2 linked regions of the Sus scrofa genome follow. The protein of the gene in region 1 purifies or fractionates together with the protein of each later gene. This does not show direct contact. Links are inferred from orthologs where the notes say so. Each region holds a gene or a part of one and is shown in the gene's direction. Other genes may lie near its edges.

Region 1 (3,746 bases):
TTTCTGACTCCGTTTTGAATATACAAAGGATTTTCATAGCTAAGGCCATAAAAAAGCTGATCAGACAGCACTATGACTTCAAGTGCCATTTTAAAAAATGAGTATTTTTTTCAGGCCCGCCTCTGGCATGTGGAAATTCCCAACCTGGGATTGAACCTGTGCCACAGCAGCAACCGGAGGAACTGCAGTGACAACGCAGGATCCTTAACCAACTGTGGCCACCTGGGAGCTCCTAAACTGCCATTTTTAATATCGGTTGTTTTAAGATTATCTTAAAGCTTGTCCTAGTGTTTAGAAGTTTTTAACTCCATCAGGTTAACCTCCCCATACACACCGGGCACAAATTCTCCTTTGAATTACTCAGTTAAGAAAGGAAAAATTCGTTCAACTGTGAATCACTAATCATCAAATCCATACCACCTGGTATCAGGGAGTCAACTTTTTGTGATTCAGAAGCAAGGTAATCATGTTCATTGGATTAAGGTGGTTAGCCACTGGCTACACTCGCTGAAATGCAGATTACCCGGTCCCATCCCTAGGCGGACCGAATCGCTGAGAAGTAGGGCTCAGGTCTGCATTTTGAAACGCTCCCCAGAAATTCTGAACCTGTTCCTGCAACCTACCAAAGCATCAGTCGTTTTTTTTCCCACAAAAGTCTGGGTAAAGGCTCAATCGGGCCGAAGGGGGAATTCTAAATAAAACATTCCAATGATCGCTGCAACCTACACCACCCAGCGAGCAGAGAGCGGCGAAACAGATGAGCACGCTCGGGGCGCCTCAATGGTTTCTGAAAACGTGACGGGCCCTTTCTTCGGAAAGGACTCGGGGTTCTGGCCCAAGGACACAGGGCTGACTTACTCATCCCTAACTGTGCAAAGCACCGTGCTCTCTGACCCCTCCATAGCATTTCCTAGGGCCACTCGCGGTGCTTCCAGCCCAGTCTCTCGTGCGGTCTCCACCCGGCGAGTGCTGGACGAGGACAGGAGGGCCACAAGCGACGGTCACAAACCCGGCGGCCTGAGCCCGCGCGTGCGCAGTCAGGCGCTGAGCTCGCGGCAAAGTCTGTTTCCTGACTTTTGGAGGAAGGGGCGTTGCGTCACTTCCGGCCTCCCTCTAGCTGCCATCTTGCGTCCCCGCGTGTGTGCGCCTTATCTCAGCTGGTCTGCCCGAGACCTCCTGAGCGCCAACCCTAGTCCCCCGCGCGACCCCATTTCCACTCCAACAAGGTACAAAAAGGCTCTGGACGCCGGCGTGGGAGGAGGACGGGAACGGGGGCGGGAAGTGCCCGGAAGGAGCGAGACAGGGAGGGACAGGGCTGAGGAGAGGAAGGCGATGCGACGGACAGGCGCACCCACTCAGGCTGACTCTCGGGGTCGAGGTCGGGCCAGGGGCGGCTGCCCTGGGGGCGAGGCGACGCCGTCTCTTCCTCCACCTCGCGGCGGAACCCGAGGACAGGAGCCTCAGGTACCGCGAGGCTTGCGGAGAGTGGCCGGGCTGGGCAGGCCCTGGCTAGGCCGAGGCCGGGCCGGGGCCGGGGTGGGGGTGGGGGTTGGGGCGCTGACCAGGCGTGGGTTACAGCCCTTTTTCTGGGCCAGCAAAGAGGGGAGGAGTTGTGGGGGAGGGATAGGAAAGCGGGTGCGCTTTGGGCTCCCTCGAACCGGAAATTTGGGAGCTTGGCGGGTGGGTTTGGGATCCAGGCCTCGGCCTGTGTAGGACATTTATTCTGCTGGTGCCTTGGGAAATAACGAGCATGGAAGGCTAGAATGCACTAGACCTTTTCCTCGCTGAGGGTTTCCTGTTTTTCTAGATGAAAGAAACTATCATGAACCAGGAGAAACTCGCCAAACTGCAGGCACAAGTGCGCATTGGTGGGAAAGTAAGTTTTCATAGTGTGGGGAGAGGTTGTTTGTGGTTGTTTCTTTAGGATTTTTTTCCTCTTTTGCGTTTCTAATATAATTGGCTTGTCACTTTGTCTCTAGAGGGCATTTCACAGCTAGCAAATCAAGTGAAGGGAGTGGCAGGATTAGATTAGATATACAATGTAGTGTATCCTTGAGAGGCACAGGTTGTAAATTAGAAGAAAAAAATGCAAGCGAATAGAGATGAAGAGAGCACTTAAACAGCAGCCTTTGTTTTTATGTAGGTTTTTTTTTTTTCAGTGTTACAGTGTTTTAGGTAGAACAAAAGGTCTGATTTAATAAGAAAGAAAATGTGTCATTTCAGTTAGATCATCATTGTGGCCAGTTATACCCTTGACTTGTTTTGTCATTGGCTTTATAGCCTAAGTTATATATAGCTAGTGCTTGATTTTTTTTTTTTAGTAACTATGCTAACTGAATTTAAGTATCACCTATCTTTTCAACTTTAGTGTATGGTTCTGGATAACTACTTAATAGTTGAAAGTTCACGTCTCTTGTAAATTAAGGCCTTTCTGTGGTCCTTTCTTAGCTAAATGTAACCTAGAGTAGTTGTATATTTTCCAGGATATTTGAAAATGTCATTTTTATAGGTACATTTTGTGATATAAGAGCGATGACTGTGGATTTGGAAATACTGCCTAAGCAGATATATTTCTATTTTAACTTTGTAATTACACTAAAACTGAAGGAATGAGAATGGTGGGTTTTTAATCGCTCAGATTTTAGTTAATTGATTTTTCCTGGTGGCTACTGTCCCCTTCAGGGGGTTTATTTTTTGAACATGGTAAGTTTTCAGGTTTTCTAATTTACTTAAAAGTTCACTTAAGACAGAAGTCTACCTAGTTGTATTTCACATTGTGTTAGCACATTCCTAGTATTTAACAAGGTGTGGTAGCCTGTTGGAACAGAGCATGTCTTTACCTGATAAAACTTGTAATGTTTTCATACTAAAAAATTTATTATCTATTAGTTTTTCCCAGCTGTAGACATTTACCTTCAAATAGAGTCCACTGTGAAATAGCCAGAAGTTGCACTTAGACTTAAGTAATAAGTTGTACCTCTGTTAATTACAGGATTTTCCAGCAGTGAAAGTATTGGACCCCCCCTTTTTTTCCCCCTCACTGAAGCTGGTCTTTAATATCAGCACCTACCCATTAACAACAGTAGGTGTTTCTTGTTCTATTTAGCAATTATTATAAATTAGATGTGGCCTTTGAGTGCCAGGAGAACTCATATTCTTTGTGGGTTAGTGTTTGCATGCTCTTATACTGGTATTTTTAACCATCATTCCTTTCAGTGCAGATTTTAGAAGGAGTCATTTGACTAATAGGCTTGTGTGCCTTCTTTTTTCGTTACTCTGATCTTTAGTCTTGTGAGAGACATTCTAGGGTAAAGGAAAGTCCAGATTTTCTGGGATTCTTAAGACCGATGTAGGCTTAAACTTTAATTGTTTAGTTAGTATAAGAAGTATTTCTGGAGTTCCCGTCGTGGCTCAGTGGTTAACAAATCCGACTAGGAACCATGAGGTTGCAGGTTCAATCCCTGGCCTTGCTCAGTGGGTTAAGGATCTGGCATTGCCATGAGCTGTGGTGTAGATGGGGCTTGGATCCTGCGTTGCTGTGGCTCTGGCGTAGGCTGGTGGCTGCAGCTGCTATTAGACCCCTAGCCTGGGAACCTCCATATGCCGCAGGAGCACCCCTAGAAAAGACAAAAAAGTGTTTCTGTCATCATTGTAATATGGAAACATTTTCCTCACCTTTTAAGAAAGCTACATATTGTGGAATGTGTGATTTGATGAGTTAGTGTTGCCTTAGAGATTTGTAGGTA
Region 2 (3,746 bases), on another chromosome or scaffold:
AATTAACCTAGTTGACAGGGCTCTAGAGCTAGTCCATTTCTATCAGTCATTTGTTCACAGTAGGGACTAAGGACTTGTTGAATTGCGGGCTAGGCGCCCGTTCTAACACGAGTTCAGTCTTTGGGATTGGGTTAACAGGAGGCTCGGCCCGGTACTTCACTTCCAGATTCAAGCCGGTAGGGATGCGGAATCTACGATTCAGACCGTGGAGGTAATGTGCGGCTCGGCTAGGAGCCAAGTCCTGCAGAGAGCTTGGGGCCCAGACCGCAAAGACGGCGAAAGCACGATCGCGCCGGGGTCCCTCGACTTGCATAGGGGCAGCAGCAGCGCCCGGCAGCGCCGGGAGCGGGCGGGCCCCGACCTCAGCACTGCGGTTGGCCCGGTCCCGAACTTCCGCCCTCCTGGGACCTGTGCCGCTCGGCCTCGTAGGGCCGGGGTCCGGGTGCCGCCTCCCACGGGCAGCAAGCGGCCAGTCCAGCGTCCGCTCTCTTGGCACTGGACGAGTGAGAGCCGGGGGGCTTCGGGATCCCGATAGTGGAGAATTTCGGGGTCGCCCTCCCCCAGCCCATCCCGGCCCGCGGGTGCCCTGGCCGCCCCATCTCGGCCGACAGCGCCTTGGCGGATCTGTCCTGCGGTCCCGCGCGGCCCGGCAGCCGCCGGCCTCTAACCCCCGGGAGCGCCCGAAGAGCTCGCAAGCGCCCCGCCCCAGCCCGAGGCGGGCGGCTCGGCGGAGCGGGGACTACTTTCCGCCGCCCGCCCGCGCCCCGCCCCTTGTCCTCGCGCGGCGGAACGCTCCGCGCTGCGCCGCTGGCGGCAGGATACAGCGGATTCTGCGCGACTTATAAGAGCTCCTTGTGCGGCGCCATTTTAAGCCTCTCGGTCTGTGGCAGCCGCGTTAACCCGGCTCCGGGAGCTGAGAGCGAGGGGAGGCGGAGACGGAGGAAGGTCCGAGGAGCAGCTCCGGTCTCCGCCGAGCCGCCACCGCAGGCCGAGGACGGTCGGACTCCCGCGGCGGGAGGAGCCTGTTCCCCTGAGGTGCTTGGGTGCTCCTTTCCTTACCCTTCCGGGGCTGCTCCCGCTCCTCTTCGGAGCCAAACTTCGTCGCGGGCGCGCGGTCCCGGCGGCGGCTGGAAGCCGGGCCCGGTGCAGCCCGGAGGGCCGGGGTGGGGAGCTGGGGGCTGACTGGGGGCGCCGGGGAGGCGGCGGGGGCGGGCCCGGCCCGAGGGGCGGAGGGCGGCGGCCGGGCCCGGGTTCCGGTCGCGCGGCTCTTTGGGGGCCCCGGGTTTGCCGCTTGCGGGGAGGGGGCGCCGCGAGGGCGCGTTCGGGAGCTCCGTTGTCTGGCGGGGGATAGTAGGGGGGTCTGTGGTTTCCGTCCCGGGCTCCGGCCGCGGCCGAGTTTGGGGGAGGGACCCTGCGCCTCTGGATGCGCCGGGGCCGGGGTGGGGGGCGGGGTGGGGACGGGGGACTCCGCCTTCCGGGCCTTCAAGGGGAGTTGGGGTACAGGCGCTGGGCCTGGGACCCGAGGTCCCATCTGCCATGAGGAGAGGACCAGTAGACTTTCTCTTCAGAGTCCCTCTTTCGTGCTTAAGGACGAATTAAGAGAATCGTTAGTATTATTTTAATGCTCTGCTGGTGTGTTTGGTTTTGGCTCCTGTTTAAATCGGAGCAACTTTAAACCGTAGAGGATCCAAACTATTATTGCAGACGGAGCGATGCTCCAGGAGGAGTTGCACAAATAAAATCCATATCTAGCACCTTTATTTTCTTGTACGGTGCAGGTGAGTGAAAGCAGTGTGCAAGGAAGGTCCTGGGAAAAATAAGGGCGAGGGCGACTGGCTTACTGTCTCTTACCAAGTGACCCGCCGGACTCAGCCTCTGACTGCTTCGAGAATTTTGTTCGTGGAAATTCTTTATTTAGATAATTTCATGCCAGCTAAACTTGATTTTGAGAGCACTTTCCAGCGAGATGAATTTTTCCCTCGCTACGAAATTGCCCGAAGGAAATTCAAGCGTTGCAACTTCGTTCCGTGTTTTGTCTGGGGCGAGGACTTGGAATGCAGTTTCGAAGTTCAGTTCTCAAAGCCCGCTACTGGATCCGCTAAACTTGAAAGCTTTGGCAGTTGGGTGTAGTTGATTCCTTCGTTTTCAGTTCCCTGTTGGAGGGAGCATTGTCTCCTACTTTGTATCTTCCAGACATCTGTGGTCTCCCCTCCCCCCCGAGTTTGTGAGTGGTGAATGAGGAGACTGGCCTGCTGGTATGCAGAGGTCCGCAAAAGGAAATCGAGGAGTGGTTTTAGTGAAACGAGAGCTTTGTGTCGTGAATAGTGGTGGCTTAGACTAGACAGCAACTTGAAGCGACGGCTAGCCTTTGATAAAGTCTGGACTGATGTTTTTCAGATCGCTGAGTTATAAAGTATTTTGTCTGGAACTTAGGAAGCCATTTCGTTATTGTCCCTTGGTGTGCATTCAGTACCTTCAGCTATCTTCACCTTAACTTGTCTTCAGAAATGTTGGACATAGCTTGAAATATTATTTACCATAATGCTACTGTTTAGTATCTGCTTAAATCAGTGACAAAAACATACTTTGGAGGGTTTTTTGTGGGTTTTTTTTTTTTTTTTTTTTTTTTTGTCTGAACTAAGGCGATGGCTGCATTTATTTTACTTTTACATTTAAACCCACAAAATCTCTGGGTTAAAAAAAAAAGTGCCATTAACGTTTGAGAATATCCTTGCACAAAATTTGATTAATTTGCACCCAATATTCATTACTTTGACCTAGTCTTTGTTCTAAAGGCCATGTACAAGGCCCTAAAGTGATTGCAACAGTAACTCGAAAAACTTGCAGAAGACTCTTCTATAGGATTAAAGGAATGCTGAGACTATTCAAGTCTAAGGTCCTTGAGGGGGAAATAAAAAAACTAAACTAGAAAGTTTAGTATAGCATGTAGCTTAGAGCCCTTGTGGAGTTCTAGGCTTAGATTTTTCCATAGGCTAGAATAATCATTTAAGATAGCTTTCAGGAAAAACCAATTTTTAAAAATAAAGTGGCAAAAAAAAGGACAAAAAAGAAACATTTAGCAGTGTTCAAGTGTCAATAGGTATTCAAGAGTTTTCTTTTGAAACGTTATCCGACTACTTCCTCTACCAAGATAATTATGTAGAAAAGTATGGATCCCAGTATTAAAACATAAGCTGAATTGAACTTCCTACTGTTGCCAGTGATGACTGGAATAAAAATTATCCATGTAAGTGAAGTAGTGTATTTTTGTTTTCATAGATACTTCCCTCCTCCACCCCCCCCCATAGGAAGGAAAACATGAATTAGGCATATTTCTCTAAGGGTATTTTGAGATTTGGTCTTTCAGGAAAACTATCTGCAAATACTGTTTTTTTTTATTGGGAGGGGTGAAAAGAGGAGCAGAAGTATTATTAAAACTGGGGATGTGGAGAATTCAAAAGTTTGATTCTCTGTCATTAAAAGTAGCAGTGAGATTAAAACCCTAGATATGGACTATATAAGTATCTTCAGCCAGTGAAACTTGTGTTATTGAAATAATACATCTATCCAGTTACAATAGGATTTTGTTTCTCTCTTCATGATTTACTAGTTACTGATAATAATTGTAGAGGAGTAGGTGGTAAATTTTAAGTTTGTACTTTGAGCTAGGGTGGAAGCATGCTTGATTGCCAACCCAGGACAAAAAAGGATGAATGCATTTAGAGCAGGGCACCTTCTAATAAAAA

The links. The genes of interacting proteins can lie anywhere in the genome.
Region 2: the proteins of BTF3 (region 1) and CTNNB1 purify together in Homo sapiens (affinity purification with mass spectrometry; 3 studies listed by BioGRID). This does not show direct contact. The link is inferred for Sus scrofa from reciprocal best matches to the Homo sapiens genes BTF3 and CTNNB1.

What each region holds. Positions count from the first base shown.
Region 1 is NC_010444.4:82,659,380-82,663,125, forward strand, and holds the start of BTF3 (transcription factor BTF3), read left to right. Parts: upstream 1-1,111; 5' UTR 1,112-1,226; exon of another isoform or gene 1,227-1,332; coding exon of another isoform or gene 1,333-1,464; intron 1,465-1,807; coding exon 1,808-1,876; intron 1,877-3,746. UniProt on the Homo sapiens protein: When associated with NACA, prevents inappropriate targeting of non-secretory polypeptides to the endoplasmic reticulum (ER).
Region 2 is NC_010455.5:25,163,408-25,167,153, forward strand, and holds the start of CTNNB1 (catenin beta-1), read left to right. Parts: upstream 1-887; 5' UTR 888-1,035; intron 1,036-1,059; coding exon of another isoform or gene 1,060-1,480; intron 1,481-3,746. Other genes in the region: basic proline-rich protein-like, read right to left, coding at 1,060-1,480. UniProt on the Homo sapiens protein: Key downstream component of the canonical Wnt signaling pathway.